Linked DNA regions of Schizosaccharomyces pombe. The gene in region 2 interacts genetically with the main gene of each other region. Each region holds a gene or a part of one and is shown on either strand. Other genes may lie near its edges.

What was found.
Region 1: mutations in uri1 (region 2) and dad4 together harm fitness more than expected from each alone (negative genetic interaction), as found in Schizosaccharomyces pombe (one large-scale study listed by BioGRID).
Region 3: mutations in uri1 (region 2) and laf1 together harm fitness less than expected from each alone (positive genetic interaction), as found in Schizosaccharomyces pombe (one large-scale study listed by BioGRID).
Region 4: mutations in uri1 (region 2) and cwf15 together harm fitness less than expected from each alone (positive genetic interaction), as found in Schizosaccharomyces pombe (one large-scale study listed by BioGRID).

What each region holds. Positions count from the first base shown.
Region 1 is NC_003423.3:4,002,499-4,008,100, forward strand, and holds dad4 (DASH complex subunit Dad4), read right to left. Parts: upstream 3,885-5,602; 5' UTR 3,837-3,884; coding exon 3,732-3,836; intron 3,704-3,731; exon of another isoform or gene 3,673-3,703; coding exon 3,559-3,672; 3' UTR 3,531-3,558; coding exon of another isoform or gene 3,443-3,530; 3' UTR 3,368-3,442; coding exon of another isoform or gene 3,306-3,367; 3' UTR 3,142-3,305; coding exon of another isoform or gene 2,890-3,141; 3' UTR 2,785-2,889; coding exon of another isoform or gene 2,674-2,784; 3' UTR 2,628-2,673; downstream 1-2,627. Other genes in the region: mnh1 (protein mago nashi), read right to left, coding at 46-83, 130-155; ESCRT II complex subunit Vps36, read left to right, coding at 814-2,217; SNARE protein Vti1, read left to right, coding at 2,459-2,484, 2,522-2,627, 2,674-2,784, 2,890-3,141, 3,306-3,367, 3,443-3,530; cleavage and polyadenylation specificity factor complex subunit Ctf1, read right to left, coding at 4,359-4,469, 4,507-5,456, 5,499-5,529.
Region 2 is NC_003421.2:324,331-330,879, forward strand, and holds uri1 (prefoldin-like protein), read right to left. Parts: upstream 2,765-6,549; coding exon 2,617-2,764; intron 2,543-2,616; coding exon 591-2,542; 3' UTR 538-590; downstream 1-537. Other genes in the region: dar2 (aspartate--tRNA (Asp) ligase), read left to right, coding at 1-537; DNA-binding transcription factor, CBF1/Su(H)/LAG-1 family Cbf11, read left to right, coding at 3,212-3,293, 3,372-5,131; tfx1 (translin family protein), read right to left, coding at 5,419-6,114.
Region 3 is NC_003424.3:5,249,204-5,255,168, forward strand, and holds laf1 (clr6 L-associated factor 1 Laf1), read right to left. Parts: upstream 3,032-5,965; 5' UTR 2,832-3,031; coding exon 1,938-2,831; 3' UTR 1,317-1,937; downstream 1-1,316. Other genes in the region: vtc2 (polyphosphate synthetase), read left to right, coding at 1-964; RFC-like checkpoint protein Rad17, read left to right, coding at 4,155-4,365, 4,409-4,512, 4,570-5,965. UniProt on the Schizosaccharomyces pombe protein: Component of the RPD3C(L) histone deacetylase complex (HDAC) responsible for the deacetylation of lysine residues on the N-terminal part of the core histones (H2A, H2B, H3 and H4).
Region 4 is NC_003423.3:1,038,424-1,043,832, forward strand, and holds cwf15 (protein Cwf15), read right to left. Parts: upstream 3,607-5,409; 5' UTR 3,551-3,606; coding exon 3,536-3,550; exon of another isoform or gene 3,477-3,535; coding exon 2,694-3,476; 3' UTR 2,565-2,693; downstream 1-2,564. Other genes in the region: chaperonin-containing T-complex theta subunit Cct8, read right to left, coding at 124-1,479, 1,766-1,887, 1,940-1,979, 2,033-2,155; ecm14 (carboxypeptidase), read right to left, coding at 3,872-3,970, 4,011-4,258, 4,300-4,428, 4,478-4,583, 4,625-5,409. UniProt on the Schizosaccharomyces pombe protein: Involved in pre-mRNA splicing.

The DNA.
Region 1 (5,602 bases), on a different chromosome or scaffold from region 2:
ATGTTTGGTTAGCTGCGCGACCTTGCGTCTAATATTATCGCGTACCCAAGAACTCGTGTCCGAATCGACCATGGTGTCCCGAGCTTCAGTCAGTTAGCATTCAAAACTATTTACAGCTTTTTTGCATACTAGTATCGAACATAAAAATCACTCATTTTCGAGCAAATAGGAATATGATGGCTTCGATGACTACTGCTGAGAGGTAAACTCTTGGTCAAAGATACGAAGCATATAGTGATTCACTATTTTAAATAACACAATACACTAGTGCATCCAATTTTTGGAGCTCGACAATCAAAGTTCGTGGGTAATTCAATATACAGTGTATCTTTGATGAATTCGTTGACATTATATATTGACTGCTAAGTCTATATCTGTAAATCAAAGTCTTTTAATTCCTTAAAGGCTTTTTCCAAATTCAGGTTAAATCTTGACAAGTTATTTTTCTGGGACCTTTTAACGTTCCACGACTTATTTCACTGCATTTACAAAAGTTATTCTGGCACTGTTGCATCTTTTATCGCTAGTTTGTGATCCTTGGGTTGTTTTTTATTAAGACTACGGTTTGATTTTTTTATTGTAACATATTAAATCGAGCTTTTGACAGGCTTCATTTATGTTATTTATATATCGACATTCACAGCTGTCATCCAAAAATATTTTTTTTAAAGGTAGCTAAATAAAGCGAAAGTCGTACTCACAGATTATCTCAAATCAATTGTTGGTCTCGACTAGTTAACCAAGGCACATGACATGTTATATAAGTTTTAATTCACTTGACAATTATCATTTTGGTTAATCTCTCCTTCTAATATGGCCTTTTATTTAGAAACAACCCCTTCTAATCTACCGGTTTTGGATCCTTCAGAAGAAATTTTGCTAGTTCAAGACCAGGTAGGTTTATACTTCGGAGATGAGAAAAGTTTTCGTCATAATAATGGAACATTATATTTGACAAAAAAACACATCTTCTACGTAGATTCAGTAGATCCTAAAAAGAATTCATTAAAAATTAAAATCTCCGATATAAGAGATGTACAGCATACCTCTAGGTATTTTCGCTCCTCCCCAAAAATTCGCCTTTCTCTGCGACATGTGGAAAAGTCATGGGCTTGCAAAATTTGTACATTTATCAATGTGGGTGATCCCATTAATCCTTGTAGAAACTGTGGAGTTGCTAACCGATTTACTATTATAAAGCCGAAATCAGATGCGCGTTTTTCTCAAGGATTATGCACCGCGTGTACTTTTCAAAATTATCCGGATCTGAATACTTGTGAAATTTGCGGCAATCAATTAAAAAATGTCGATAGAAACCAGCTTATACAACTCTCGTTTAGAGGCTCGGGTTCATCCAAGTTTTACGAAGCTATCAAATCTGAAACAGATGAAATAGAAAAACAAAGATACTCGAATAAATATGATACTAAAGTTCTGAGGAAGGCCATCCTTGAAAAGTCTTTGCGAATGGGTGGTATTCATGATCTTGAGCAATCTCATGAGATGCAATTAGCCAAAAATGGACGTACCTTAGTACATGCGTTTCAAGATTTAGATGCTTTTTTTTCTTTAGCGAAAGATACTATGTCTCTGGCTGACCAATTTGCTGAAAAGATGGATGGGCTGACCGGCACTCAACAGTCTGACAAGGTACAGCAGCTTTTAAACAAATCGAATCAGTTAGGAGTGTTACGAGGAAATCATTTAGATAATGTTCCTGTTTCGGCTAATTCTCGATTGTATGATATTGAACTATGTAAAAGTATCTCAGAAGTTTTACGCACAAGGTTAAAAGCTGATACCGATACGGTTACCATGACCCAGGCTTGGGCCATCTATAATCGGTCAAGAAAAGCAAACCTGATTCCTCCGACCAGATTTGTGAAGGCTTGTGAACTAATAGATTCCATGGAGGTTGGTATAACAACGTCCAAAATGAACTCTGGGCTTATCCTTTTTCAATTAAAAACTTCTAATCATTCAGGAAAACTTTTGTCCGCTATATTGGAAGTTATGAATCCTAGCACTACGGCTTTGAAATGTGCAATGAGGTTGCATTGGTCCATTGGTGTAACGTTAGAAAGACTTTATCAAGCTGAGATGGACGGTTACATTGTACGTGATGTTTATGAAGAATCTGGTTCTAGCTTACTATACTGGAAAAACGAATTTGACGAATTATCAGAAGAATTGACTAAATGGTTTGATGAATCATAGGAATAATAACTGTACACTATCTAATTAATATTCATTCCTTTTAACATTGTATTTTTCTTTCGCTTTAGTAGATTCCTCTCTACACACGCCTTAATTAATATGACTACCTGTTATGGGTATTCGATTCCCAACGTAACCATTTAATCTTAACCTACACCTATTTTATTTTTAATTCATTTGAGAAACTGTTTACACGATAGTTTCAAGAAATCTAATATATCAATATTAATAATTGTTAAATATGGAGACGTACGAGCAAGAATATCGGTATGTCTAATACCATTACAAGTTTACTAATAATTAGCTTGCTTCGAGCAGATATCGAAGAAAAACTTAATGATTTAAGTAAAAGTGGTGAGAACTCTGTTATTCAATCATGTCAGAGACTTTTAAATGAAATTGATGAAGTAGTATGTTGGAATAATTTGTGTTTTTAAAAAAGTGGCTAACTTGCAGATTGGTCAAATGGAAATTGAAATTACCGGTATCCCTACTTCTGAAAGAGGTCTCGTAAATGGAAGAATTCGTAGTTATCGTTCAACTTTGGAGGAGTGGCGTAGACACCTGGTAAGTTAGCTATATCGAACATTCTTCTTTTGAAGCTTTACAGAAATTACTATGAGACAATCTACTTTTATTTACCAAATTCATACTAACAATTTTCTCGTTTAGAAGGAAGAAATTGGCAAATCAGATAGGAAAGCCCTTTTTGGAAATAGGGATGAAACATCCGGTGATTATATTGCAAGTGATCAAGATTATGACCAAAGAACTCGTTTGTTACAAGGAACAAATAGACTTGAGCAATCTTCACAGCGTCTTCTTGAATCACAACGGATTGCGAATGAGACTGAAGGCATTGGTGCTAGCATTCTTCGTGATCTTCATGGTCAAAGAAATCAATTGGAGCATTCTTTAGAGATGGTAAGTAATTATTGCAAAATAGATAAATGAATCACTATGATTGATAAGATAAAATGCGCGATTTATACGCATATCTTAGCCAAGCTTATTAGCTCCATGGTTTAAAAATATAGTTTTCTTTTATGCTATGTATAAATTTCTTTGAGATTTGTTAACCAAATTAGCTTGGAGATACGTCTGGACACCTTGATCGAAGTTTAAGAACTCTGAAGACAATGGCAAGAAGGTAGGACACAGATAGACATTATTATAGTGATATGAATCGTCATGTAATGATCTTTTATACTAACTCATTTTAAAGACTTGCCATGAACAGATTTTTCACGACAGCAATAATTGCAATCCTTGTTATATTAATTTTGCTTGTGCTTTATAGCAAATTTCGTTAGCACAAATATTAAAGAACATCATATAACTTTAGATGGGATCTTTAAGCGTATGGGTCTCTTCCAAGTGGAATTTTACGTTTCTTGCATAATTCGCCCACATTTGACTAGCTAGCTCAACATTCATATTAGACATATTAATTAGCTTTAAGAATGTCAGCGGAAAGTTGATATGTACACAAATATTTGACGTCGTAATCTTACCTGTAATGAATGATTGAGTCTTGTAATACTTTCATTCAGCTTTTCTACATTACTTATGATCCTTCCTAATAATGCGCTTTGCTGTTCTTCCATAGGATTATTCATTTTCGATGGTTTTCAATTTCCTAAACTGTAATTATGTAGTCTGTACTTGGAAGCTTGCATGAGCCAGTGCTGACACTTCGTAGTTGGAAAAATTGAACTACAATTTTAAACCTGTGATCTAAATTTTTTTTAAGAAATTGAACTTTTTGGGAATTTATGAGTTGCATATTTATTTGAGAAGTATCAGTTGATGTTACCACCTACATTTTTATAATATATTTACGATCAAAAGGGCAGTTTAAAATATAAAAAATAATAAATTTTAATATGAAATATTGATTGAGTAAATTTTTATAAAAGGATATTGAATAAAGGATCCAAGAAATAGCCCTCCATAACGCGTATAGAAACAAATATTTATGAGAAGCAAAACATCCGAATAGTATAAAGAAGTGTGTAGTATGAAAAGGTATCAGTGCTAGGATATGGTTTATAGTGTTGTAAATAAATTATCTTGCACACCAAATTTAAGTACTTGGTCAAATGCTAATATTTAATCTCTTGATATTACTAAAATTAGACTTACTGTCGAAAATGCTGCCGACGAATGCTAAGAATTTGATCCCTTTGTGCAGGAGGTAATGCGTTAATTTGCTCTGGGGTAAGAGCCAACAATTGTTGTATGAGGGCCATCTGTTTTGTTAGTGCAAAAAAAAAAAAAAAAACGTACCCGCTTCCCTTCATTGCCCTGATCTGAACCATTCGCTTGTTGACTTTTATGGTTACTAGAAGGTATTTTTTGGGGAACAGAAGGAGGAGAGGAAGTTGCTGAAGCTGGTTGATGCATGTTTTTATTCTTCACTGCGACTACTACTTGTTGTAAGACATTTGCGTCAACTAAGTTCATCAGCAACATAGCTTGAAAGGCGGCGTATGGTAAAGCAGGATTAGCAATTAGAAGTCGTCGTGCCTCTTCTGGTGCTATATGAACTACAGTCTGAAGTTTGGACAACATATTGAGAAGTTCCTGAGCTGAGAAGGTAGATAGTACCTGAACGACAGACGGGGCCAATGGGATAGAAGTCGGATTCGATATAGAAGTCCCGGAAGTGTAATCCCCTTTGTTTTGTGAAGATTTATTATACTGAAAGGTTCTTGCATTGTATGCATCTGTATGGGGTTGACTGGCAGAATCAAAGTCGGAGGTCATACTGTTGTGAAAATTATAAGCAGGAACAGAAGTAGAATTTATATTTTTATTAAGATTAGTAGCCATTGACGACGAATAAATAGCAGGACTTGGCATCCCACCTCCTTGTGAAGCAGGCAGGGAAGATGTTGAATGCAAAACAGGAGGAATAAAACGGGAATTATAAGAACTTTCATGAGCATTTTGCTGTTCCATGTATCTATCAGTACGCTCCGTATATTCATAACTTTGATTCCTTCTGGGATCATTTGATGGAAACTCGACACGAATCTTACGAGGTCCTAATTCGGAATTATTTAACTTTCGTACAGCCATAGCGGTAGTCTCACTATCAAAAAACTCACAAAACCCATAACCCTTCCCACTACCTGTTTCCGGATCAAGTACAAGTTTGAAAGTCTTTACTGGTCCAACTTGATTAAAGATTTCAGTCATTTGCTGTTCCGAAACATCATATGGAATGTTACCAACTAAATTAGATTAGCAAAACCGAATATTTAAAGAATTATTACCAAATACGACATTCCCGGCTGTCATCGACATGCTGGTAGTCGCGTCTTTCGGTTTTGCCCATTCAACCAACGTACTGCTACTACTACTACTACTACTTAAATCA
Region 2 (6,549 bases):
GCTTTACCAGAGCTGGACAAGGATTTATTAAAATTCGTTTGGGTCGTGGATTTTCCTCTTTTCTCACCAACCGAAGAGAAAAATCAATCTATTACATCTACACATCACCCATTTACTGCTCCTCATTGGGATGATGTACATTTACTGGAAAAAAAGCCTCTTTCTGTTCGTGGACTTCATTATGATATAGTCGTGAATGGTATTGAATTAGGGGGTGGCAGTATTCGCATACACAATCCAGATATTCAAAGATTTGTGCTTAAAGACGTGCTTAAATTACCAGAGAATAGGTATGCTACATTTGAGCATTTAATACGCGTATTGTCTAGTGGCTGTCCACCGCATGGTGGAATTGCATTGGGTTTTGACAGGCTGGCTGCGCTGTTGACGAATGCTCCAGGAATTCGCGAGGTCATTGCTTTTCCGAAAACCTCTTCGGGTGCTGATCTTTTAATTGGCAGCCCGTCTGCTATTCCAGAAGAGATGTTGAAAGACTACAACGTTGCTATTACGCGACAAACTCAAAACCGTAATTAGATAACTTAAGCAAAAACATTAATCATTTAATTTTTTTTATACAAAATTTTAATCTAATGCTCATAAATGGGAACACGACCACGCAACCTCGCGGTCATAAATCGGCTCATTTTAGGTTTTTCATTTCCATTCTCATCCAAAGGTATAACTGCCTGTTCTTCTTCATCCTTAATATATTCACCTGTATTATCTATCATTTTTTTTCTCAGTTCGTAGTAACGTTGTGATATAGCTCGTTGATCACTAATTTCCTCGACTTTCGCATCGAATGCTTCTTTAGACTCGCTAATTTTGTCAGATGGAGTTCGTTCAACTACAAAATCTTTTACTACAGATGGTTCATTTAAATATTCCTTGGAAGTTTCCGAGCTTTTTTCTTTAGGCGGTGCTTTAAGCTCGGATTCTACAGTAGATTTGTCTTCTTCTTTTGGATTTAACTTTGTATTCGCAGCCCGATTATTTAATGTGTTACTCAAATCATCGTTCTTGATTGTACATGTGGCATTAGAATGGTTGCCCTCTTCGTTTTCCTTTGCGCGCAATTTGCTCCTTGCTTTACGAAACGCTGAAATACGACTCTGAAAATCGTCTGGTCCAAAAAGATTATCGTATTCTTCAGTTGGAGCAGGTATAACTTCAATATTCGCCTTTCCACTCCGACTGACGTGTTTAATTTCCAGCGTGTCTGAAAAATGTACCTTTCGAGGATTTTTTGACGAAAGCTCTTCTTGTTCAACGATTTGTGGAAAGTCACTGACATTTAGGCTCTCGTCATTACCATTGACATAAGTTGTAGCACCAGTCTTTTCTGTAAAATATTGAGGATCCGGTGGAGCTTTCAGTTCCTTGGAAAATCCTATCGTCATACCATGTTCATCTTCCTCAGACTCAGAATTATCATCTAATTCGCCTTCCTCCTCCATTTCCTGAATGAGAGCCTCCATATCTTCTAAAGAGTCTAAACCGTCGTATTGTACTGCTTCCAAAACATTTTGTCCTTGCGCAGTCGTCGGAACTGGTAGTAACATCGGTTCTTCTTCGACAATTTTATTGTCGGCATTATCTGGTTCTTCTATACTACTACTTCTAGTTTCGTTTATAGAATGAATAGATTCATTTCCTAGTGAAAGCTTTTCACTAGATGTAGCATGATCTTTGTTGCCAGATTTTTTTGTTTCTAGCTTAGCTTGTTTAAATTTTGAAAGACGCTTAGGTCGTTTTTTATGTTTAGACGTGCTAGTGTTATTATCTTTATTAGATTCCCCAGTATCTTGGGCCTTCGCTGTCGGATGCTCTAACACAATGTCTCGTAAAACTTCATTTTGGGTATCTTGATGTCCATTTTCATTTAAAGTAGAGTTATTGAGAGCATTCAATATCGTTTCTTTATTTTTTTCAATAGCAGAAGCGTTTGACTTTATATTTGAAGTAGTTCTGTTTTGCATTGCATTATTTTTTTTGAAAAGAAAACCCTTTTTAAACAAAGAAGTCTTGCTACCATTTTTAATTTGTTGAACCATATCTGAATCACTCAATGAAGCAGCCTGACTATTACTAATAGGACTCTCATATGTTTTACTGTCTGAATGATCACCATGTTTGCTGGGAAATTCTGAGACACCAAGTGTTGGAGTTGAAGTAAATTCAGTATTAGAAGGTAATGAGCCCATTTCTGGAGCTTTGTAGTTAATATTTTTCGTAGAATCGTTAATTTCTTCTTCAGATAGCTCTTCAATTCTCGAAGATGTATCACGGTTCCCCCCATTTTCAATATTTTTGAAACCAGGAAGGGATCGAAAGACATCCGCATAATCTATTACAGATGAAATTCTTTGTGGAGCAACAGAAGCACTTATAATATTTCCATCTTTATCAACTTCTTCATGAATATCCATAACAGGTAACCCTTCTGAGTTTCTTACTATCAACTCGGATTTCTTCTTTTCAATTGAAGATGCTAAGTCATTATTGTAATTTCCCAAAAGTAAATGAATATGATTTAAGACTGGATTTTCATTAGCAATTAGTCGTTTGATGAAGCAAACATTATCACTCAATTTATAAGAAAAAGTAACGTACAATCCACATGGGATGCTGTTTCACATCCTTCAACTTTTCCATCTTCCTTACAGTAACGGATCGCCCTACCGACTGATTCAGAAATTTCGCTAATCTTAGAGAAGATTTGCTGTTCAAAATTGATGGCTACTAGTCTTTCGTCGTTCATTCGATAAGTTGTTTTAAAGGATCTTAAATAGAGTTATTGAAGAATTTCTAATTCAAAATAATCTCACGCCAACGATCGTTTCGTGGTTATTCCGGAAAAAGGCATATACAGCTTATTCGGGCAAGCTAATATTCACTTTAAAAACGAGATAATAAGTAATTCTAATAAATTTTAAATACTTTTAGTATTTAAATAACAGGGTAACTAATATAATATCGAAAAATCGATGTTAATGGAAATGGCTCAAACTGAGTAGGAAGCCACCGACCTGACCCTAATGTACGTAGAAAGCGCCATACTGCAAATGTCCTAAGCATCTAGTAATTTGGTCCCTTACTTTAAATTTTAATATTTTCTCACTGAAAATAATTTAAGTAAAAGCAAATGCATGTCTTAATCCTATAGGTCCAACAGTTTAAGCAAGTATAAAACATAATTTGAACATTAATGGGGGACTATTTTGCCTGGGATTTTGCAAATATCTCTGGGAGTAATACTTCTGGCTCCTTAAATTTAAATCAGTTGAACTGTAAGCGCTAGCAATGATGGTTGAGTTATAAATCATTCTGAACATCCCAAGCGTAAAATAGCTAACGGATTTTTCTAGTGGACAACATAAATAATGGTTTGCATAATCAGGAGGATGGAGCTGGAGGAAGGAATGAAAATTCTGAAAGAGTTGGAAGCGGGAGTCCTGGAAGTGTTTCCATGCAGGTTTTGTCTCTCTTCAGTGCTGTAAACTCAGCTTTGGCTACTTTGGAAAAATCAGAGGAATTCCCTTCTGTAGTTAAGGATGAACAGTCAATTTTTCCTGCTGTAGCAAAGGCGTCTAATTCGTTGGACGAGCTGGCCCAAAACATAATTCCTGCTCCTTCTCCTCCTGGGTTTAATAGAAAAAGAAAAACCTTTGATGAAGACAGTTCTGTAGAGATGATCCGAAGAGCCATATCAGATCATTTGGATTTACTGAACAATTGTTGTATTGGCATTGCTAATTTGAATGAGGACAGTGTGCACAAAATTTCACTTACACGTTCAGGGAAACCTAGTCAGCTGGTAACAGTTTCGTGTCGACATTCCTCTGTCATACAAAAGTCTTATGGGTCAGAGAAACGTTACCTATGTCCACCCCCTATGGTTTATATTAATGGGAATTACTCTTCTATATTCAATCAGTCTTTTCGCACTGAGATATCAATAATGAATGATTTTGGGCAATGTTCGCAACCCATCAGCGAAGAATACACTGGCCAAGGATGTATGATTTTTCGGTCACTGCATATATCGAGTTTGGTCGCTGCGAAATCTAAAAACTTACGGCTTTCTCTGGACATGTTCTCGAATGTAAATAACCAATTGTTATCTCATTTGGTTACTTCTTCTATTAGTATTGTCTCCAAACCTTCGAAAAAAGGAAGCAAACTAAAAATTAGTAATATTACGTTGCGATCCGGTTCAGTCGTCAGCCTTTATAACCGGATTAATTCACAAACTGTACGTACAAAGTATACATCGATTGAGGCTGGTCAGTTTTGTCTTCGCGGTGATAGATGGGTGCCATTGCGTATTAACCTGCTATTACCAGATGAAAATGGTAAACTGAAGGTATGCGACGATGTCGATAACCCAGAACCCATTAAATATGGCTCCATCGTTGAATTGGTCGATGAAGCAACAGGAACGACGAGTGACCCTTTAATTATTCGACGAGTAGAAAAAGACCACATTGCTGAGGAGGACGGTTACGTTAATCAAATGCATAGAATTGTATTAGAAAGCGCATATCCCATATCAAACGTACGGCATCTTAAGATCGCTGAGCATAGTTCACTGGCATATTCCAATAATATTTCAGTCCGTTGGTTTCTTGGGGCCACGTCGGCACAAAACAGAAATGCATCTAGTGAGGCTATATTGCCCATAGAATGGGAAGCTGTTGGAAACTTGAGTTCAAATGAAATGACTCGAGTTGGAGATTCTGTATGCTGGACTATAGTGGGCATATCACATTTTGACTGTACGATGATGTTACCATTCAATCAAAATCCTGTACCAACGGTTACTGATTATCCATATATTGAAGAGCCACCCGAATATTTGGAGAGCTCGCGCTCATTACAATTTAAAATTGGAGGCTATTCGGTCGGATTACAAATTTGGCTAGGTGTTCATGGACCATTGTCGTATAGTTTTACCGCAGCTGCTGATACGAGTACAATGGGTACGGTCACTCTAGGTCTGTCGCAAATTTCATATGATCCTTCTTGTGCAGAACAAAAGTATCCTTTGTTGTTCGTGATTCCAGGTGGGATTGTCATTATTGGAAAATGCGAGATTTTGCTAACGTCAAGTGCTTTTGGAAACTGATGCATCATGATTAATTTTACGTGTGGTTTCATATGGCGAAATATTGAAATACAATTTGTTTTCAAAATGATGGAATTAGGTTGAAATCTCTCTTATTAAATGAACTTTATATTGTACAAACATCCTAGCTTATGGAAACTCTAACATATAGAAAGCAGCGGAAGCTTTTGATAAGATAATTGAATCGTCGAAAATATGTACTTAATAATTATGATTTTCAAAAGCTGCAAAACAGAAAAACTTTTAATAAACTAGTAAGGTGTCTGTCGAGAGCTGTCGATCATATATTATGTGGACCGTAATCGTTTCTCCTCGGGAGGAGTTGCTGTATCCACTTCCAAATTTAAATATCTTTTATCTGCTTCTCTTAAAATTTTACTATAGCAAATTCCTTCAACTTTTGAAATGCTGTTCTCCATTACTGATAATTTCTGCTGTAATTCTGACTTGACCTTAGATGGTAAGTGTTCAATTTCTGAGCAGTTTTTGTGTAGTCCACGAAGAAATTTAACTTGCTGAGTGAGTTGTTGGACAGAGAACTTAGAGCCGTTGGTTACAAGGAATCTCATTATTTCACCAGTCATGTCACAAACACCGAGTACATAGTCGATGAAATTAATAGAAATTCTAAAGCTACTATCTTTACAAGAAAGTAACGTACCTGTTTGTAACCAGAATTTGAAAGTGACAGCTTCAACATACTCTTGAAGGCCGTGTGTACAAGCAGAAGAGAACTTGTCTGCATTTAATCCAGCCAACTCTCTCTTCAGACTTTCTAGTTCTTTGTGAATTTTTTTTTCAAAAATGGATGTTCTGTCGAAATCCTTGGGTAGAGGAAATCCATCAGAAGAGGATGTTTGATGTAAAAGAAAGATCATTCGTTTACTTTGAATTGTGATTTCACGAGAAAGACGAATAATTTTCTCCCTCTTATCTTGATCCTCCTGTAAAAAATTTTTAAATGAGAGGAATTCCTCTTCCATATTTGGCAAATTCGGTTAAAGTTTTATAATATCCTCAATTCAGCAAAGCCGTGTGGAAGGTATAAATGTATAAGTCTATATTATCAATTGAATTAAATGCAAATCAAGATGACTATTTGTTGTTTAAGAGACGAAATATTGTTTAGTGGATCATTGAGTAAGGTTAGTTGGCTCTGTGCTATGAAATTGAAATAGTGATTTGAGCTGCAGCAGGACAATCGACCATGTATGGAATGAAGAGAAAATATTGTTAATAAAGATCGGTTAATAGGAATAATGAATTTTTTTGGTTATTTAAATTTACTGTGGACTAAAGCCATTTGCTTCTGACAATAAAATCTTGAACATGTGAAAATAATAAATATATAAAGAAAGAAATTTGAGCTTTGCTTGAACAATTCTGAAAATAACTACCCAAGTTTTTTGTCATTTCCA
Region 3 (5,965 bases), on a different chromosome or scaffold from region 2:
TGATTTCCCATATAAGCACTTAAGAAAAGGAGAGTATTCTCGTTTCCCTTATAGTGTCCTAGAAATCCGTGAATGTGTTAGATATGATGAAGACGAACCTCTTTGGATCTCTGAATTGCGTAATTCTCATTTAATTTCTGAAATTGATGGTTTTTCGAAATATGAGCATGGTGTTGCAATTCTTTTTGAAAAATACGTATCTCTTTTACCAATGTGGGTATTTTCAATGGATCAAGATATTCGAAAAGATCTTCAAGAGGTGTACTCCCATCCCGAGGGATCTGCGGGCTCTCGAAATGTTTACATTAAACGTAGGAATCAAAGAGTTTTAAAGCAGAATATGACACCCGAACCTAGTCAACCCTCACCTTTGGTCAATCGTTTAAAGGCCAATGAAATGCACCCTGTTTCAGAAGAGCCCGAAGATAATAGAGAGGTGTATCGAAATGAGCACGGAGACCATTTCAACTTCAGAAGCATACCTGGTTTGCTGAAGCCATCTACTTATGGATCGTTTAAGCATCATGGTAAAACGTTTGTTACTCCACCCCATATCAAGAAACCAGAGATTCCGCTTAGAGTCAGTGGTCCGATTAAGGTTGAGGCCAAAGTTTGGCTTGCAAATGAGCGTACGTTTTTGAAGTGGCTTCATGTCGTGGTCTTGCTTGGTTCTCTTGCTCTTGCATTATATAATAGTGCTGGAGAAAGACTTGGTCAGGCTTTTGGAGTAGTTTATACTCTTTTAGCTATTTTCATTGGGTTCTATGCTTGGAAGCTTCATGCCAAGCGTTCTCAAATGATCAAGTCCCGCAGTCCTGCGCCAATGACTGATTATTGGGGCCCATTGATTGTAGGAACAGCTTTGGCTATTTCTCTTATTGTCAACATGTCATTTGCACTTAAGGATGCTGTTTATCAAAATCTCATTGAACCTGATCGTTTGCTTGTTAAATTGTTTACTTGAGAAGTTTCGATATCATTCAACATGGGATTTTTCCAACTTTTATTACACGTTGGATTTACTATTTAAATGCAATAAATTTTTAGAAAGCTAGAAGATAACATTTCAGTAAATTCTTGATTTAGATGCAATGTGAAGTTGAAAATTGCAATAAGATTGAAAACTTCATTTAGAGCAGGGCTCTTGGGTTATTATATTGGTTAATTGGTTTGGGGATATATGTTATCGGTTTTTACTAAAATTTGCACGGGTATTGCAAGTTTTTACGTGTCGATTTACTTTTTTTGCAAGGATTAAGAAAAGCTGGATTTGACCATATATTCATTACATTACAACACTGGGGTATATTAATACTGGGATATTAACGTCGGACATCCATTATAATTTCTATGGTTTAATTAATTTAATAGCAAAGAATAAATAATCAATTATTAATTATCCGCTAAGCATTGGATCTAATTGAGTAGAGTAAAATAACTAAAAACCCCTAAAATCCGTCTGATTAGGGAACTGATGGTTATCGGTTATTAGGTATAAAAATAACAATATCTACTGTAAATAGGAGAAACGAACGTTTTTAAAAGAGAGTTATTTCACATCTGTATTAATGAATTTTTTAATACAAATGCTGACTACATGATGCTTTTCATCTTTGGGAGGATAAAAAAACAAAAAGTGAACGAAGGAAGAAAAGAGGGACTTGAGGTATATACTACTGGTTATTGGCCAGATAAAACGATGGACACCGACTTCAAGACGAAATATCCAAAAAAAAAAAGAAAGGTTTTACCGAGATGCAAATGATTGTAAACAAAAAATTCAAAACACCTAGAAAAAAATAAATAATCCAACGAAAATGAAATCCGTGGTTTTTCGAAATTTTTAAATTTGATTATTTCCCTAACCCGCCAAAAGAGAAAAAGAGAGAAAAAATCTATTTTTTGAAAGGCCAGCAGGATTATGAACGATTCGCGAATTAGTCGTCAAAGAAACCTTCATCGTGAAAAGCTTTCCAAAGACGACTAGCTTTGTTCACATCGACACGACTAGCACGTTGAGCATCTGTTTTCCTAAAGCTTAGGCCTTGAGTACGGCGATTGTGCCACTCAGCAAAGATTCTACGCTTATTGTCAAGATAAACGAGACAAGGCAATCGAAGTGTTGCAGCCAACTGTAGCTCAGCAGGATGTAAAAGGTGTCTATTCTCATCATTGGAAAGATCAAGGGGAGGGCCCTTCCATTCGCTACGAAGGGGGCGAGGATGAGAACGTTTATCCAAAACAGACATATCAGGAGAATAATCAGGCAATAGCTCATATGGTGTATTGGCGACATCAATGGCCTGGGTGTTGGAGGAAAACTCCCTACTGGACTGCTTGAAACGCGTATTATGTTGAGGCATTCCAGGATGAACATCTCCTTTTGAATGCGGAGTTGAATGTCCCGAGTCCGGCGTATCAGGAGAACCTCTTTTACGGGTATTAGAAGCGTGCACATCCAGAAACGAGCTGGGTTGCCTTCTTGGACGTTTGGCAGCTGGAGTCGAAAACCTGTATGCTGGAGAATGACGCTGAAGCCATTGCCTTTCTCGGCGAAGCCAAATTTTAGGTGAATCTCGGTACAGATCGTAAACCTTGGAATGCAGTTGCGCAACAGGTGTTGCTGTCGGCTTTGGTTCCACAATAGAATCTTTTGGAGATTCAGGTATTGTAGAACACTTAGGTACATCAACAGTACTTGCAACTTTGTCATTTGGAATGGGAGAAGGCGGCGGAGATATTAGGTACTGATATGCCTTAATGGCTGCCGCACATGTGTCCTTCTCCACATTTCTAGGGATCGAATAAACAAGCGTTTGACTCGATTTCATCTTACCTTTTTCCTTGATAAAGTCGAGCAAGCTGTCGATAACCTTTTCAATTAAATCAAGTAGACTCTGAAATTACTCCAAATTGTTGTTTTTATGTACAATTCTTTTATGCAAAAGTCAAAAGAGCGACCGACTTTAGATGAAATTTACAGCCAACAGCAATTCCAAGTTTCACCTTATGCCAAACGATTGTTGGTGTTAGTAAAATCCCAAGGATGGATGGAACACATGTCGAAACCGGTAGGTAGGGTTAGGTTGTCAAAAAAACATGTTACTTGAATGGTAAATACAAAATGGAAAATAAATGCCATTTTGAAGAAAAAAATTATTTGCCATATTAATCAAGTGGGTTTCCCAAGTTTTTCTTTGCTCACAAGGGTTTCTGTTTCCAGTATTATGCGAAAAATCAATTCCAAAAAGGAAATACATCCCATCAAATATAATTAAGCCAAGCGAAATACTGATGGATAGGGGATTAAAAGTACCACATTAGATGTATGGGTATGAACTTTCTGTAGTGTTGGTTGATTTCTATTCTTGCTCATTTCCCAATGGAGTTCATATCGGTTCTTAAAGAGTTAGAGCTCGGCTAACTATGTTTATCAACAAAATAGGGAGTTTTGATGCAGCAACATTGGATTATTAGACTGCTTCTAATGAAACAATTCCTCCTTTGGTTTCCAGTGTAATGTCGCAATCCAAATCAAGGTTAAATATACTCATTACTATATTCTTAATATTTACAGCTTTGCCTTTCCAGCTGCTAGTTCCTAATGCACTCATATACGACATAATTGAAAATGCCAATTGTTTGATTTTATAAATGAAGAGAAATACATTTCTGTGTCCATTAGAGTAATTTCTCAATTGAAATATATCACTATTTTACTTGTTTATTTATTCATTCTTTATCGTTCAGATGTTCATTAATTAAAAAGCTAACTTTTTTATTGATGATCATTGTTTACAGTATGAGAAAAAAAAGTAAATTTGTAATAAATACTTTCGCAATATATCTTACAATAAGAGAAATGTACAAATAAATGATTTATAAATAAATTATACACATGTCTTTTTTACTCTTCTTTATAGGAAGCAGTTTCAGAGTACTTAAGAAACCTACTCACTTATTCTCTTCCATATACAGTACTTGTATATTTTCACTAGTTCACACATTTACTTGTCAGCAGTAAATTAATCAATTCACTCGTTTTTTTGTGCTGTTAAAATTTTGTGAACTATTAATATATATTTTATCTAATGATTTACAAAGTCTCTACCTTTAGCTTCCTATTTCTTTGTTGAATAAAACATATATCTGGCATGAGGCGACAGTTGTCGTTTCATGAATCTACAAAGAGATCATTAAAAAAGAAGAAAATAAGAAAGATTGAAAAACCTTCTCTAGTTTCAAAAACTTCACGCGACAAAAATGCTTCGATAACCGATATTCATGAAGAAGATATTGAAGCCTTTTCTGATGAAGAAAACAAAATTGTTCATCTCAATAATTTAAAAGAAGATCGATTTCAACGTAAGAAAATTTAAAAAGGTTCAAAAATTAACGGTGCGCATAGTTTGGTTTGAAAAATACATTCCTCAAAAAGCGGCTGATCTTGCCGTGCATAAAAGCAAAATAAGTGCAATTAAGCAATGGATGTTAACGGATTCTTTAGAAAGTGTATGTTAAATCTCCCCTAATTCTCTCAAAAATATTTCTTGGCTAACAAAATCATAGAGGTTACTTTTGATCTGTGGTCCTTCTGGTTGTGGAAAGAGTACCGCAGTTCAGGTCTTGGCTAAAGAATTAGGTTATAGTCTCATAGAATGGCTAAACCCTATGAACCTAAAAGAGCCTTCAAACCAAGAATCAGATACACTTTCGCTCACGGAAAAGTTTAGTAGATTTATGTCTTTATGCGAAACTTATCCAGAGTTAGAGCTTATGGATTCAAATAATATTCAAAAGCGTGGAAAAAATGCACAAGGAAAGAAAAAGTTTATTTTTTTGGATGAAATTCCTCACCTTTCTAAATTCAATGGCTCTCTTGATGCTTTTCGTAATGTCATTCGCACCGCATTGACATCGCGAGGCGCCTTTTCCATCATCATGGTTCTTACAGAAATACAGTTAAACAACTTGGAAGGTATTAATAGTCAAGATCGAAATTCCTTTAATAGCGTGCAGATAATGGGTAATGATCTACTTCAGGATCCACGTGTAACAGTTTTACAGTTTAATCCTATTGCGCCGACATACATGAAAAAATGCCTTGGCTCTATTCTACGTAAAGAGGGTGTTCCCAAGTCTCCAAAGTTGTTGAGTTTGGTGGAGAATATTTGTTCTGCCAGCGAAGGGGATTTGAGGAGTGCGATAAATTCCTTACAATTATCGATCTCTCAATCTTTTGAAAAGAAAGGAACAAAAAATATTAGAGAAGTAAAAGAGGGGAAAGGAAAGGGGAATGATTTTAGCTTAGAAGCTGCGCAGGTTCTTGAACGATTGTCAAAAAGCGATTCGGAGGCCTACGCAAGATTTAAAAATTATAAAAGTGCGTATATCCCAAAATCCGATAAAAATGAGAATTCGTTTTTCAAGAAGGACGTTGGCCTTGGAATGATGCATGCCATTGGAAAAGTTGTATGGAACAAACGGGAAGGAGATGATGAAGTGCTAAAGGCTTCATCTCAGCAAACGGGCAATTCGGAACGAATAAAGGGAGTAAAAGTCAGTAAAAGCCAAGAAAACAAGAATTGTATTTCATTAAAAAGTGACCAGCGAGAACGAATGCTTAATGTTGATCAATGCTTTACTTCCAAAAGACGAAGCTTGGTGGATATCGAATCGACAATCAACCAGAGTGGATTAAGCGGATCTGTTTTTCGTTACGGACTTTTTGAAAATTACGTTGATTCTTGCGTTACAACGGATGAGGCTTTTAATGTATGTGATTTGCTGAGCATATCTGACTGTTTGTCCCATGATTTTCCGTACTCCTACACGGGAGATGAAATATCTACGTGGTTTTCAGTTCAAGGTACATTATTTTATCTACCGTCTCCCGTTCCACGAAAGTGGAGACAACTTCGATTCCAACAGTGGAACAACGAAGGTATTGTAAGAGGCATTTTTG
Region 4 (5,409 bases), on a different chromosome or scaffold from region 2:
GTCTGTACCTAATTATTTTGATAACGCGCTTTTAATTTCAATAGAAAATTAGTAGCAGATTTTTACAAAAACTATTCATCGTTTTAATCCAATCCTAGTAGAAAAATGAAACTCACTTAAATTTTAATCATCATCCCAATGAGGGTTGGGGCCAGGTGGTTTTGGACCTCCAGCTGGTTTAGACATAACAACTTGATCAACGTTTAAAACAGTGAGTACAGTTTCAGTTGCTAATCTAATTGCTGATTTTTTTGCTAATAAAACATCAAATATACCAGCTTCTTTCGCATCTAATGTTCCATCATTTTCACATTCAACATCAACTCCAATTGATTCACCGTTTTCCTTATGATGGGCAGCATAAAGTTTGCTAATAACATCAGTAGGATCTAATCCAGCGTTTTCTGAAATAGTCCTAGGAACAACCTCAAATGCTTCTCCATACTGTTTGATTGCATGTTGATATATACCAGGAGTTTTTTCACCAACTGAAATTAGACGAATACAGAGTTGCATATCACTAGCTCCAGCACCAAAGATTAAACGGTTATCTTTGACCAAAGCTTTTACGATATTTACACCATCATCAATCGCTCTTTCCAAATCATCCAAGTATGTCTTAGTAGCCCCTCGAAGCACGATTGTTGCAGTACGTGTAATATCCTCAACTTGACGGAATACAGTGACACGATCACCACCAATCTCAATCGTCTCAACAACATCGACGGATCCCATCTCTTCAGGCATGGGAACACCCATACGAGCCAACGGGGTAGCGCCAACCACCCGACATAAGCGACGTAATTCAAATTTGCTTGGCACACGAATAACAAGGATTTCAAATCTATTCAAATAATGTAAAACTAAGTCATTGACATTGCCACTAGTGACAACTACCCTAACACCAGCATCGTAAATTTCTTTAATGTGAGACTCAATAAGGTTCTCCTCTCCTTTAGAAAAGTCAAGCATTTCTTGAGCATTATGCAACAATACTGTGCCTTTTGTTTCGGTTTGAGAAATATCCAAAGGGCATGAAAAAACAGCAACTTTAGCTTCTTTTGAACGTGTAACGGTGCCCTCTGGCTCTCTAGGAAATACCATGCCCTTTACAACCTGAGAGTTATAAAGGCTACTTCCCATAATTTTAACCACACGGATATTGTCAACGTTAAACTTGGATGGATCTTTGGGAAGAACTGTGAGGATCGCTTTAGCAACTAAATCCGAAAGGAAATCTTCATTTCCATATTGCTTAGAAGATATACAAGTTCGAATTGCTTTAATAAGCTCCTTCTCACTTTCAACAGTCTCAATTTTATCAGCACAAATTTCCTCCAAAACCTCCATAGTGTGTGATAAAGCCATTTCGTATCCTTTAGCAATTTCCAAGGGAGTGAGACCCATGCGAATCATGTTTTCAGCCTTGGCTAAAAGTTCACCTGTAAATACAACCACAAAATTTGCAGCATCACCAAGCTAATGGTTAGTAAACAGAAAATGGTTTTAAGAGCAAATCAATGTACAAATATTTGAAGTATAAATAAACAAAGTAAGCGTCAATACGATAGAGTTATATAAAACATGAAAACGTTGATAAAAGGGTAATCAAAGTGCTTTCTAAAATGCCCTTTTGTAAGGCACATGAGTGGATCAAAAGGTAAAGGAAGCTTAAAATAAAGTCCGCAAAGAAAAAAAATCCGCTTATTTAATGTTCAAACAAGTGTATCTCAAAAAAAATTGTACAGTTAATGAATTAACTTACCTCATTCTCCTGTTGTTGGGTAGCATCGACAACTAGTTTAGCAGCAGGATGAATAACCTCCAATTCACGTATAATGGTCGCAGCATCATTCGTCAAAAACGTCTGTTGCAGATGATTGACAACTATGTGTGTGTTAGAGAATAAGAAATGAAATAACTGTTTGAGTCAACATACCAATTTTATTTTTTCCATTTGGACCCAAAGAGGTACGGGTCTAAAAGTATCAGTAAATGAATGAAACTTGCTTAATAAATTATAGGTCCTTACGATTTCTGAAAGTTCACGAATAGCATTACAATTACGGATTACTGCATCCTCTACGCCCTGCATAATCCGATATCCTTCGCGAAACAGTTGAGGCCCAGAGGCCTTTGGAACTCGCAAAGCCATTTTGTTTACGAAAGCCTTTATGTCTTGGTAAAAGTCAAGTGGTGATTAGCCAGTACAGTAGTAAAACTATATTTCGGTATTGAGCAACCATCCTTGCATTATGTTAAATAAATTAGTGATTTCAAAAGTAAAAGCAAACGACTTCAAAAGTATATATATAGTATTTCTCAAATGTTTCCTTCGTACAAAAAGTTATAGTAGTTGTCTTTTTTAAAAATGATAAAATATTTACATTAAATTATAGTAAACTTTTCAGTAACCCCTTCCGTTAACGCAGATTTGGTGAGAGAATAAATAAGATATGCATCACTCAAATAAAGGCTTTGCAATTATAAATTTTGTAAACTTAATATACCAACAATTGTAACTACTAAACTCAGTACAGCCAGTATTAAAACAAAAAAAGAAGCAAGTTATCAATTAAACATTATCATCTCATTTATAAGTAACATTCTTAAAAATTGCCTTGTATGATAGCAGTAGAATGAAGAAATTTTGTTTTGTGGAAAGAAAAGAAGACAGCAAACCCACAGGTGATTTAATCAACAAATCTTGCCAAGAACTTCTTGTGAAACTCGCTTCTCAACATATCATTAACAAATCCAGGCCGAGGTGTGTCATCAACCCCTTTATGTGTATTCCTAAAAACAACGTCTTCGTCCCATCGACGCTTAACTTGAAAAGACCCTGAAGAAGCTTTATTCAAAAGCTCATTTCCAAAAGCTATTTCCCGTTCCCTTTTTTCTTGCTCCAGTGCTCTGTTTTTCTCTTCCTGAAGCATTTGCTCTCGTTTTCTTTCTTGTTTTATATTTTCCAACTCTCGAAGTAGCTGTTGTGTCTCATCTTCTGAATCGGACTCTTCGTCCGAACTTTCTGAATTTGATGAGTCAACGGATTCTTGAGAATTTGATTCTGTTTTTCTTCTTTTAATTGATACCTCAGAATTTTTATTTGAACTATCCACACTGTCGTCGCTATCGCTAGCATCCTCGTCCGCCTCCAAAGTCTGCCGTAACAGCTCTTGATAATCAACCTCAACATCGTTATTGGGTTTATCGTCCGTTGAAGGGGAAGTGAAACCTTCTATGAGTTTTGAATTCTGGCTTACTTCTTCAGAAGAGGCACCATGTTCTTGAGTTGCAAAATGTGCAGCCTCTGCACGTAACAATGCCTCTCGTAAATCCTGTTTTCTGACCTCTTCCTCAGTTCCTTGAGATTCTTGTCTATATTTTAGTTTTAAATGAGCTGGTAATGCGCGACTAGACGTTATCCTAGTAGGGGCCATTTCTGAATGCCCCCTAGCTGGATCAAATTGGGGTCTCTAAACATGAGTTAGTTTTAAATTATAAAATAGAGGATATATATGTAAATTGAGCATACATGTGCAGTCGTCATATTGAAAAAATATGCAATTCACAACTGTTATTATTGAGACTATGTTGGTGGAGTGCAAATACGATTACACCAAAAAATCTTAATATTTACTCTTGCAAAGTAATCATGATTCACTACTTTAGTAAGTATTCACTCTTAAATTCTTATAACGTTCTAAAAAACGTTAATTGATAGAACTGGATTTATTGTTAAGACAGGTAAATAACGCATCAATTGAACCACCTGGAAGGAAGGTATTTATTTTCATAAATTAATAATTACTATAATTAAATTTGGCAAAATTGCCAACAGATAAGCGAATAATTATTGATCTTTCTTGGACTAAAATGCATACTCAGCGATAAACTCTCCATAGTAAAGAATCATCGCAAAAAATTCCTTAGCTGTGGGGACAATCTGTTTAGCAGGTAATAAATATCCCTTGTTTAATTAGTAAAAAATTTTAGAGATATCAACTTACATAATCACCCATGTCTCGTAATCGAATATTGAAAGGCCATGCTACATCAGCAGCAAAATAAACCCAGTCAATGGCAGTTCCAGGTAGGTAATGTTTATGAAATCCATCATACGGTATACATGCTTGTTGATATGTGTAGTATCTACTATTTACGCGATGCAACTCTTTAACTAAGCCAATTGCTAATTCCTCAAAATTCTCAGTATCAGGAGGAAACAAGTCGCAGGTATATGCATAAGGCCACAAAACTAACTTAATTAGTAAATGAAAATAGACTGTCGAAACATACCAGATTGTGAATACGAATGCACATCAAGAAATCCAACGACCTTTTTCTGCTCTTGCGACAAGGATTCAGTTATCAGATTGAACAAGGCCATAGTTTCGTTAGCCTGAAAAGGTGATAATCCTCCATATTCTTGAGTTTGTTAGTTGTAATAAGTCATCAAAAAAAATAGTTCGCTTACCGTTGCTGCAAGGATCAATATTACCGTTGAAGCCAAATGCCCAATTCGCATCGAGATTTATGCCAAAACACTCGGAATTATTAAGAGGCTGTCTGTTTTTTGACCACTGACAAATAATTAGTATATGCTTCATTACAAACCACTTACCAGTCTATCGTTTGACCATGTATATTCATAACCATCAACGTTTAAAACTGGAATAAAAATCCATTCAAATTTATCCAAAAGCTTTCGGACATGACCATCGGAATCATATTTTGCCAACAATTGCCATGCGGCATAGCAAACAGATGGAATACCTATCCACTCACGAGCATGAGATCCTCCTTGAATAATAATCACTTTCTTGTTACGAATCTTTTCCCCGTTGTCGGAAGGATGTCGACCGTTCAATTTTAGGCCTAAAATCGTTCGACCTTCCGCTGTAATTCCAACTGGAACTAGTTCACTTAAATCTTTGTAAAGGGACGCCATCAACCTCAACCAGGAATTAATCGATTCTAAATTCTGATATGACTTGAAAAAAATATCCGTAAAGGAAGTAAACATTTCGTGATTTAAATGACCATTTTCAACGGCTTGAAGGAAAGCTTCTGTGGAAAAAGGGGAATTCGTAGTATCTGGAACAATGCTTTCAAATAAGGTCTCTGTCAGATTGTTTATAAGTATGTCACTACGATATTGACTCTTCCAAAAATCAAAATTTTCTTCTTTTAAACGTAAATCCACATGATCGAAATTGTAGTCCCAAATATCAAGGTTTTGACTTTGAGCTTTCTGCAAGATATCGCTCAAATTATTTTCTTCTTCCAAATGCAAACGGACTACTATTTCTTCGTTATAATCAGGAATTTTTTCGGCCCAAATTAACTGTTCTTCTGATATGGCCGCAGTCTCGCCATTAAACCCAACGTAACTGGTCATCCAAGATC